Oryzias latipes: one gene and its partner. The protein of the gene in region 1 purifies or fractionates together with the protein of each later gene. This does not show direct contact. Links are inferred from orthologs where the notes say so. Each region holds a gene or a part of one and is shown on either strand. Other genes may lie near its edges.

Region 1 (3,822 bases):
AAATGTGTCAGTGTTGTTATGCTAAACAATGTAAGTGCACGGACCGTACCATCGTCATGGACCAAGCATTGACATCCTATGTTGGCTCTTAATGTGAGCGTTTTTCTTACTCTGTCAAAGCTTAGTAATAAAATGACAAATGATGGGTTTTTTTTGTACCAGGTCCCCGATGCCATTAAGTCGCAGTACCAGAATCCTCCTCCCATGCTGCTCCCTGCAGGGATGCGACAGTTGGAACTGGTTTGCAGCAGCATTTCTGATCACGCATCTTCAGATCAGCTAGCAACAGAAGCTGAGCAGCAAGAGGTACGCCTCACCACTGGGCCTGTCATTGGTCCTGCTTTGTTTCTTTATAAGCATCATAATAGGATGTTTCAAATAATTGTTTTTTGATCTTTATTTCTTGTGAGCAGTGGCTCCAGGATGTCATCGCTCTCCAATGCAGCATCATGCGGCATCTTTCAATAAAACAAACGCCTGGATCCACATCAGCTGCAGAGTTTGATTCTGAGCAGAAGAGCTGCATAAAATCCTGCATCTTATCGGAAGAAAAGAAGACTCCAGCTTCTTTTGGAAGGACTCCTTCACCTTTACCCTGTCCTAAAGCCTCTACAGGTAGTTTATCCAAAAGCTCTCTAGAGGCCTCGTTTTCCAAGGATTGTCCGGCAAAGCTTGCTCTCTGTCAGTGTGACACCACGTCATGCCAGAGCTGCCATAAAGCCAATGGATCTGTGGCAAAGCTTCAGCCTCCCAGCCCTTGCACGGATCTAGACTGTAAGAGCACGTTGGCCTCCTCCAGGCACGCTGAGCTGCAACACAGGTTGAAAGCCGGCTCCGAATCGGAGCCTGTTGCAGGACTAGGGAACCATGTCCAAACGGAAGCTTTCAAAAAGGAGCAGGAGGGCGCCACAGAGACCTGTGCTCTGAAAAACTGCCCCACCGCTCTCACGACTCGGCCCAACAGTGGCGGGCTGAACAACAAGAGCCACGGCAAGCTTCAGGAGGAGGAACCGCGTCACTGTTCCATCACAAGCAGCTCGCTCTCCCATGCATCAAAAGACGAGCAGAAGCAAGGCACGGGAGAACCCAAGCTGTTCCCACCACCAATGGGTAAAAGCAGCACTCATGAACCAGCACAGATAAACACATTCAATACATTTTAATTAGCAGCTTCTATGTACAGCGTTCCAAATTATTCTGCAAATGCTGTTTTTTTGAATGATTTTTCTCAATACTCGATGCAAATGAAAGTCGGCAGGATTTGTCTAGTCACTAACCATTTTGATGTCATTTTATTAAACAAACCTACTAAAGACGCATATTTTATTCATAAATAAAAGCCTTGAAAGTTTACTGTTCCACATTAGTAAACAGAACATTTCATAGATTCTGAAGAACTAAAAATGGTCATTTGTTGACTTTGCTGCATTAATAGATCATATTTACTGAAGTTTCATTCCAAATTCTACAGTTTCTTCGTCAGCCTCGTAGAAGAAGTCCCTCTTTGCTTCCAGCTGTTTTCATATCTGCGTTTGAGATCGATGGGCGGGCTGAGCTTACTCCGATCAGCGGAAGCCCGGTGGATTCTTTATGTTTGTCTGGGCCCACTGCAGCTGTTTCAGCCCACTTTCCTTTCACCAGAAAACAGGACCCTGGACCACTGGCCCACAGTCCAGTTCTTCTTCTCCGTTTCCCCCGTTGGTCCAGGCTCAGACGTGTCTTGACCCGAAGAACCCGACAGTTGTAGCCCGTCTCCAGAATGGGCCTGAATGTGGTGGTTTTGGAAGCTGTTCCTCCACCTCATTCCACTCTTTCTGGAGGTCTGCAGCTTTTTGGATCTTGTCCTTTTGATGATCCGCTGAAGCCCACAGTCGTCTCTTTTGCTGCTGCTTCTTCTCCTGATACATTTTGACCTTCCTATAGACTTTCCATTGATCTGCTTGGACACAGCGCTCTGTGAACAGACAGCCTCCTGAGCTACTTTTGAACTTTGGTGGCTCACCCAGAGGTCAACGATGGTCTTTTGGGAAGTTGGAAAGCCTGAAGTCTTCCTTATATTTAACCAAACTGAACCAACGTCTGGGGAACCTGTGCAGTTACTTTATGCAGTAGATCAGGGGTCGGGAACCTATGGCTCGCGAGCCATATATGGCTCTTTTGATGGTCACTTGTGGCTCACAGACAAATCTTTAATTATACTTTTTTATTTTTTATTAGACCAGTCCTTCTCGGGCGCGATGCGATGCCAGAGGCGTGGTGCTTGGAGAGAAAAATCTGCGCCAGCATTATCAGTTTACTATTATCTACTATTTCACAGAGTTTGTACCAACCGTAAACCTGTGAATTGACGTCCCTAAAACTGCACGCTCCCGTCTCCGAGAAAGAGCGCGCAGTTGCGGGGACGGGATGTGTGAGGAAGAAAGCAGAGGGTGGGGGTGAGGTGTTGTGGGGACAGGCAGCAGGTGAATCGCGCAGGGATTGTAATAACGTAAAACCTGCTGCCCGTCACTCACTGCAGCGTGTGAGTGTGTGTTTGGCTCCCCGTCTGCATGTGATCAGTCTGTCTCACATCTACAGAACATTCAGACCTAAGATCACGTTTAAAGTCTCAACGCCTGAACGAAGCAGAAACTCACCACGTATCAACCAGACTAGACCACCAGCAGAACTACCACGAGAAATACTCATCATTTATTACCAACAGAATAACAATGTTATTAAAAAGAATCCACAGACTTATTGTACTTTAAAAATGTTGAAATTAAATCAAATGCACACATTCATTTATATATTTAGTTTTAAACAAATTGTCGCGGACTGAGTTGGATGGCTGTTGGGCCGCGTTAAAAGTTCTGGAGTTCATTGAACGCGTCAAGCAGAGATCTGATTGGCCCTCAGTTCTGTCGCTCAGCCTGTTGTTAGGTAGTTTGGACCAATGGTGTTCAGCTATGGGCCGAATAAGGGAAATGGGAGGGCTGCAGCGGGAGCAGGGGAATATATAGTTGGGAGAAGCGCTCTCGTGTCGGCGGGAGAGATTCAGGAGTTGCTGAATGAATTGAACGGCGTTTGTTGCGGTCTGCAGTAACCAGAATAAAGAACTTTAAAAGAGGTTAAGTCTCCGTGCCTCAGTGTGGGGAAGGGACACTACATTATTGTATGGCTCTTTCGAAATTACATTTCAAAATATGTGGCATTTATGGCTCTCTTGGCCAAAAAGGTTCCCGACCCCTGCCGTAGATGATTAGTTGGTGACACTCCGTTTCAAACATTCACGGCCTGCAGAATTTGGGCCGATTTCTCCACGGCATTCTAATTTTAGGAAATCTTGTTGTCATAGGCTTCTTGAGCTGGAACGCCAATTTATTTCAAATAAGCAAATACTTGAAATCAATTAAAAAGCGGGCCCTGAATCTGTATTCCATGAAAGTACAATGTTTTGAATGGAATTATGGAAATGGATCCACTTTTCCATGACACTCAAATGGTTGTGGAAAGGGTCCGTATACGTCTTCCACACCCGCCTCTCCTACTTTCACATGGAACAAGGTTTTCTTCCAAGCTGTCTTAAAACTTACCAACACATCTTAAACCCAAGTGACTATTTATTTTTAAAGTATTCTTCTGACTATTACATTAAACAGAGAGGAGCAGGCCTCTAAAGACGGAACAGTTATTTCATCGGTTTCATAAAGTAAATATTTAACAATAGAAGTAGCAGCATGCTTATTTTGACTTGTAAAAACAGCCCAAAACATCGTTATATCATCAAAGTTTACCATTAAAAGTAAAAAAAAAAGACCCACCCCAACGAGGACATTTTTT
Region 2 (4,135 bases), on another chromosome or scaffold:
TCGGTTCCTTCCAACAATATAAACTTCTTTCCTCATTTTGTCACAGCCCGTAATCTGTTACATAGAAAGTTGTCAATCAAATCGGCCAATACTATTATTAAATCATTTTAAAACGCAATAAATCGATATGTAATTATTTCACTTTATTTATTTTCTTAATTTATTCATTTTCTTTTGTTGTAGTTGTTGTTTTTCAATTTTCAATTGTTTTTGTTCCTGAACAGTTCTTTGTTTTTGGTGTGAACTTCATTACTTATTTCTGTATTTTGAAAAAAAAAAAAAAAAAGTTTTTACATGTTTTTTACAGTTGATTACATGTTTTGCAGACCACATGTTTTATACACTTTTGCAGCTGTATTTATTTAATATTTATTTATTTAATAAGAATCTCATTTTTGATAATAATTTTCCTAATAATTGTAATAATAATTTTAACTATTTAATATGAATGTCATTTGTGATGTCCTTTTTTGATGTTATATTATATAGATTATTTCTGAATGTCGTTTTTGCTGCCACAGATAAATGAAATTTCCCCATTGTTGGATTAATAAAGTTATCTATCTATCTATCTATCTATCTATCTATCTATCTATCTATCTATCTATCTATCTATCTATCTATCTATCTATCTATCTATCTATCTATCTATCTATCTATCTATCTATCTATCTATCTATCTATCTATCTATCTATCTATCTATCTATCTATCTAGTAAAAGCTAGATATGATGTCAGCAAAAACTGATCAGTCAGTCATTCCAGTCTATTGTATGGAAACACTTATAAATTTAGCAAAGACATGTGACCATACAGTATGGTAGAATGTTATAATAATAGTCCCTTTGTATTATTTTAATTTGGAAAAAACAAAAGTGGGCTAAACTTTAGAAAACTAAAATGTGAATGGATTTTTCATAAATTCTTGTTTACTTGTTTGTTTGCACACAAATTTATTTACACTCTATTAGCTTGCAAGAAATTCAAGGAACCTGGAAAACTTCATTTGCACTGTCCGGTACCCAGGTATTTCTCTCTGAGTGACACTGGTACAAGTTTTAGCTTTCCTGGATCCATTTTAGGTCAGTGAATCGGATCACTGCAGCAACTAAAAATGTCATGAATTACATTTTTGTAAAAGTAAATCGTTACACCCCTACTAGACAGCAAATTGTGGAAAAACTGGATTTAAGTTAATCAAAGCTCTGTAAAATGTTTGCAGCATAAATTAAATCTACTTGTAAATTTTTATTTTGGACGAAAAATAGTTTTTAAAATGCAGTTTTTATTCAGTTTCACAAGCACTATAACTAAAAAGTTAGACAAATCGGACTGTGCTTCACACGTGTCCACTAGGTGGCGGTAGCGCAAAAATTAGACGGTTAACCGACCGAACCTAAATTGCAGACAAAGAGCGAAGCTAATATCCGGTAAAAACAATAGTTGAGCGACTACGTTTAATTGCTACAATGGATGGCAGTTATTTTGGACAAATGTTTGCAATTGATCTCTCGGAAGACCAGACATTTTGTGACATCTGCTGAACAAAGATTAGTGAGTAGTTGTTAGCATTTTTAGGGTGAATCGAGCATCTTCCTCTAGTTTCCTTCGTACTACGTCGGCGTCGTTTTCCTGAAAAAAAAAAAAATGCCGCTTGGTTTGAAACCGTGTTGTGCTGCGTGTAAGACGAACTCTTCCTCCATGTGGAAAAAGGGAAGCCAAGGGGAGATCCTGTGCAATAACTGCACGGGGAAGAGCAGCAGCGCCACGGCGGCAGGACCTTCCATGTCATTCAGCGCTCAGCCCAGTAATGGCGGAGGGAAGCAGGTCAGTCAGTCAAAGGAGGACTCAAACTCCCAGCAACTTCTCCTTTGCTCAGCATCAAACCACGTCTGTTTCTTTGTAGTCCAAGCAGGAGATACACCGGAGGTCTGCGCGGCTGAGAAGTACCAAATACAAAGCTCCTGCTTCTGAGAAGAAAGTGTCAACAAAAGGAAAAGGAAGGAGACATATTTTCAAACTAAAAAATGTCAGTTAAAAAAAATAACCAAAAATCATTCTTCCTGTCATCTTTTATTTTAACCTGTAAACTCTTCCCCACAGCCAATCAAAGCTCCTGAATCTGTAGCAACGATCGTCACTTCAGAATCTGTATTTTATAAGGTATTGTGATTATTATTCCAATCATTTGTTTGTCCGTGTTATACTGTTGGTCTGCAACCTGTGGCTCCGGGGCCACAGGTTGCTCTTTTACCCCTCCACTGTGGCTCTCTGATTAAAGAAAAATAACGTTGTGATTTTAAAATATAACTGTAATGTAAAAAATAATTATAAATAAGTAGGAAAGTAAACTTACACAAACTTTATTCAACTCATCCACAAACAGTTGAAGGACAGTACATATCAAAAACATTTTTGACAGTTTTTTTTAGCGCAGTGTACTGCAGAAAATCAATTGGAGGTCAGTAAGCACAATTAGGGAGGATTTTTGAACAAATTGAATGATTTTAAATTTGTTTACGTTTGAAAAATATGGTAAGGTTCACTTAATTAGCTCTGATTTAATTATGGTTGGTTAGGATTTACACATTTATGGCTGAGATTCACCACAAGCGATAAAATAATGTGTTGTTTTTGTTTTGTTTTTTATCACTGCTAACAATACGCCAATACCCTTATTGCATTGAGATGATTCTATATGACACCGGCTGTCTTTTATTTTGAAAGGAATTCATGTGAACTTCTGTCAAAAGTTTAAACTGTTTCATTTGTTTTAAAAAGGCTATTTTATCTTTGTTTGTTTGATTTCTGCCCAAAAAAGCAACAGTTCATTTATATTTATCATAATAATAATAATGACATCAATAAATATTTTTAAGGGTGAAGTGAGATTTTGTGGATTCTGTTGGGTTCAGTGAGAAATCGACCCAAATGGCACTTTTAGCGTTGAAGGTTGCATGCCGACTACTGTCTATGTTTTTGTTTCTTTTAACATCTCTTCACAAATACAGGGGGTTTACTACCAGACAGGTGATGTGATCAAGGTGATAGATGAGGATGACGGGAAGCCCTACTATGCTCAGATTCGAGGATTTGTGCAGGACCAGTACTGCGAAAAAAGTGCAGCACTAACGTGGCTCATTCCCACCCAGGCCAGCCCAAAGGACAGGTTTGATCCTGGGACTTACATTGTCGGTGAGAACTCCTACAGAATAACATATTTCTTAAGTGATTTTCTGGTCTTGGGTTAAGCATCATGTGTTGTTTTCCAGGTCCAGAGGAAGATCTGCCCAGAAAGATGGAGTACCTTGAGTTTGTGTGCCATGCACCCTCTGAGTATTTCAAGTCCCAGAGCTCCCCGTTTCCCACTATCCCCATATGTCCTGAAAAAGGCTACATTTGGACCCATATAGGACCTTCACCAGCATTCACTGTCAAAGAGTCTATCAGCACCACCAGTTAACAAACAGTATTGGTAAAATAATTGTAATTATGCAGAGTATGTACATGTTTGTATTTGTAAATAAAACCAACTTTTGTTTTTCATTTCTCATCTCACGACTTTAATTCTTTAAAAACATAACAAAATAACAAAAAGACTATTTGAAATTTCTTGATTTTCTAAGTTGCAGGAGGAAAGTAGACCCTCCCCCTCACAGGGAGGTTTTTGACTTTATCAGCACTTTTGGGCTTTTATGGTTTCTAGCTTTTATTTTCACTCAAAAAAAACCTTTTTATAAAATTTCTGAGCCTTTTAGGAAACATGTCTAATATTTTTTCATAGTTCTGATAACACTAAGGTCATGAGCCACGGCTCCTGAGCTACTTCTGAGCTTTAAGATGCCAACATTGTTGCATATCTTTTAATAAAAAATGTTAACTTATAAACAATAAAATCTGCACAGTAAAACAAAATGTTGCCCTATCGGTGTGAAATAGCTGTAAAGAAGACTAAAGCTAAATTATTTAGAATTTTTTTTTTTTATTAGCTGACATTTTCAGTTAGTGAGGTTTCCACATACGGAATTTGCAAAAAAATAAGTTCTGTCAAATTCAGTCATCTTTTATGTAAATTTTAAAGTATAGGGGGATGATACTGAATACAAGTAGAATTTCCATTTAAAGCTAGCATAAT

What was found.
Region 2: the proteins of phf12 (region 1) and gatad1 purify together in Homo sapiens (affinity purification with mass spectrometry; 7 studies listed by BioGRID and IntAct, with this or other methods). This does not show direct contact. The link is inferred for Oryzias latipes from reciprocal best matches to the Homo sapiens genes PHF12 and GATAD1.

What each region holds. Positions count from the first base shown.
Region 1 is NC_019871.2:27,106,107-27,109,928, reverse strand, and holds part of phf12 (PHD finger protein 12), read left to right. Parts: intron 1-162; coding exon 163-306; intron 307-413; coding exon 414-1,110; intron 1,111-3,822.
Region 2 is NC_019869.2:23,121,538-23,125,672, reverse strand, and holds gatad1 (GATA zinc finger domain-containing protein 1), read left to right. Parts: upstream 1-1,376; 5' UTR 1,377-1,473; coding exon 1,474-1,554; exon of another isoform or gene 1,555-1,647; coding exon of another isoform or gene 1,648-1,713; coding exon 1,714-1,827; intron 1,828-1,906; coding exon 1,907-2,029; intron 2,030-2,103; coding exon 2,104-2,163; intron 2,164-3,011; coding exon 3,012-3,195; intron 3,196-3,272; coding exon 3,273-3,463; 3' UTR 3,464-3,547; downstream 3,548-4,135. UniProt on the Homo sapiens protein: Component of some chromatin complex recruited to chromatin sites methylated 'Lys-4' of histone H3 (H3K4me), with a preference for trimethylated form (H3K4me3).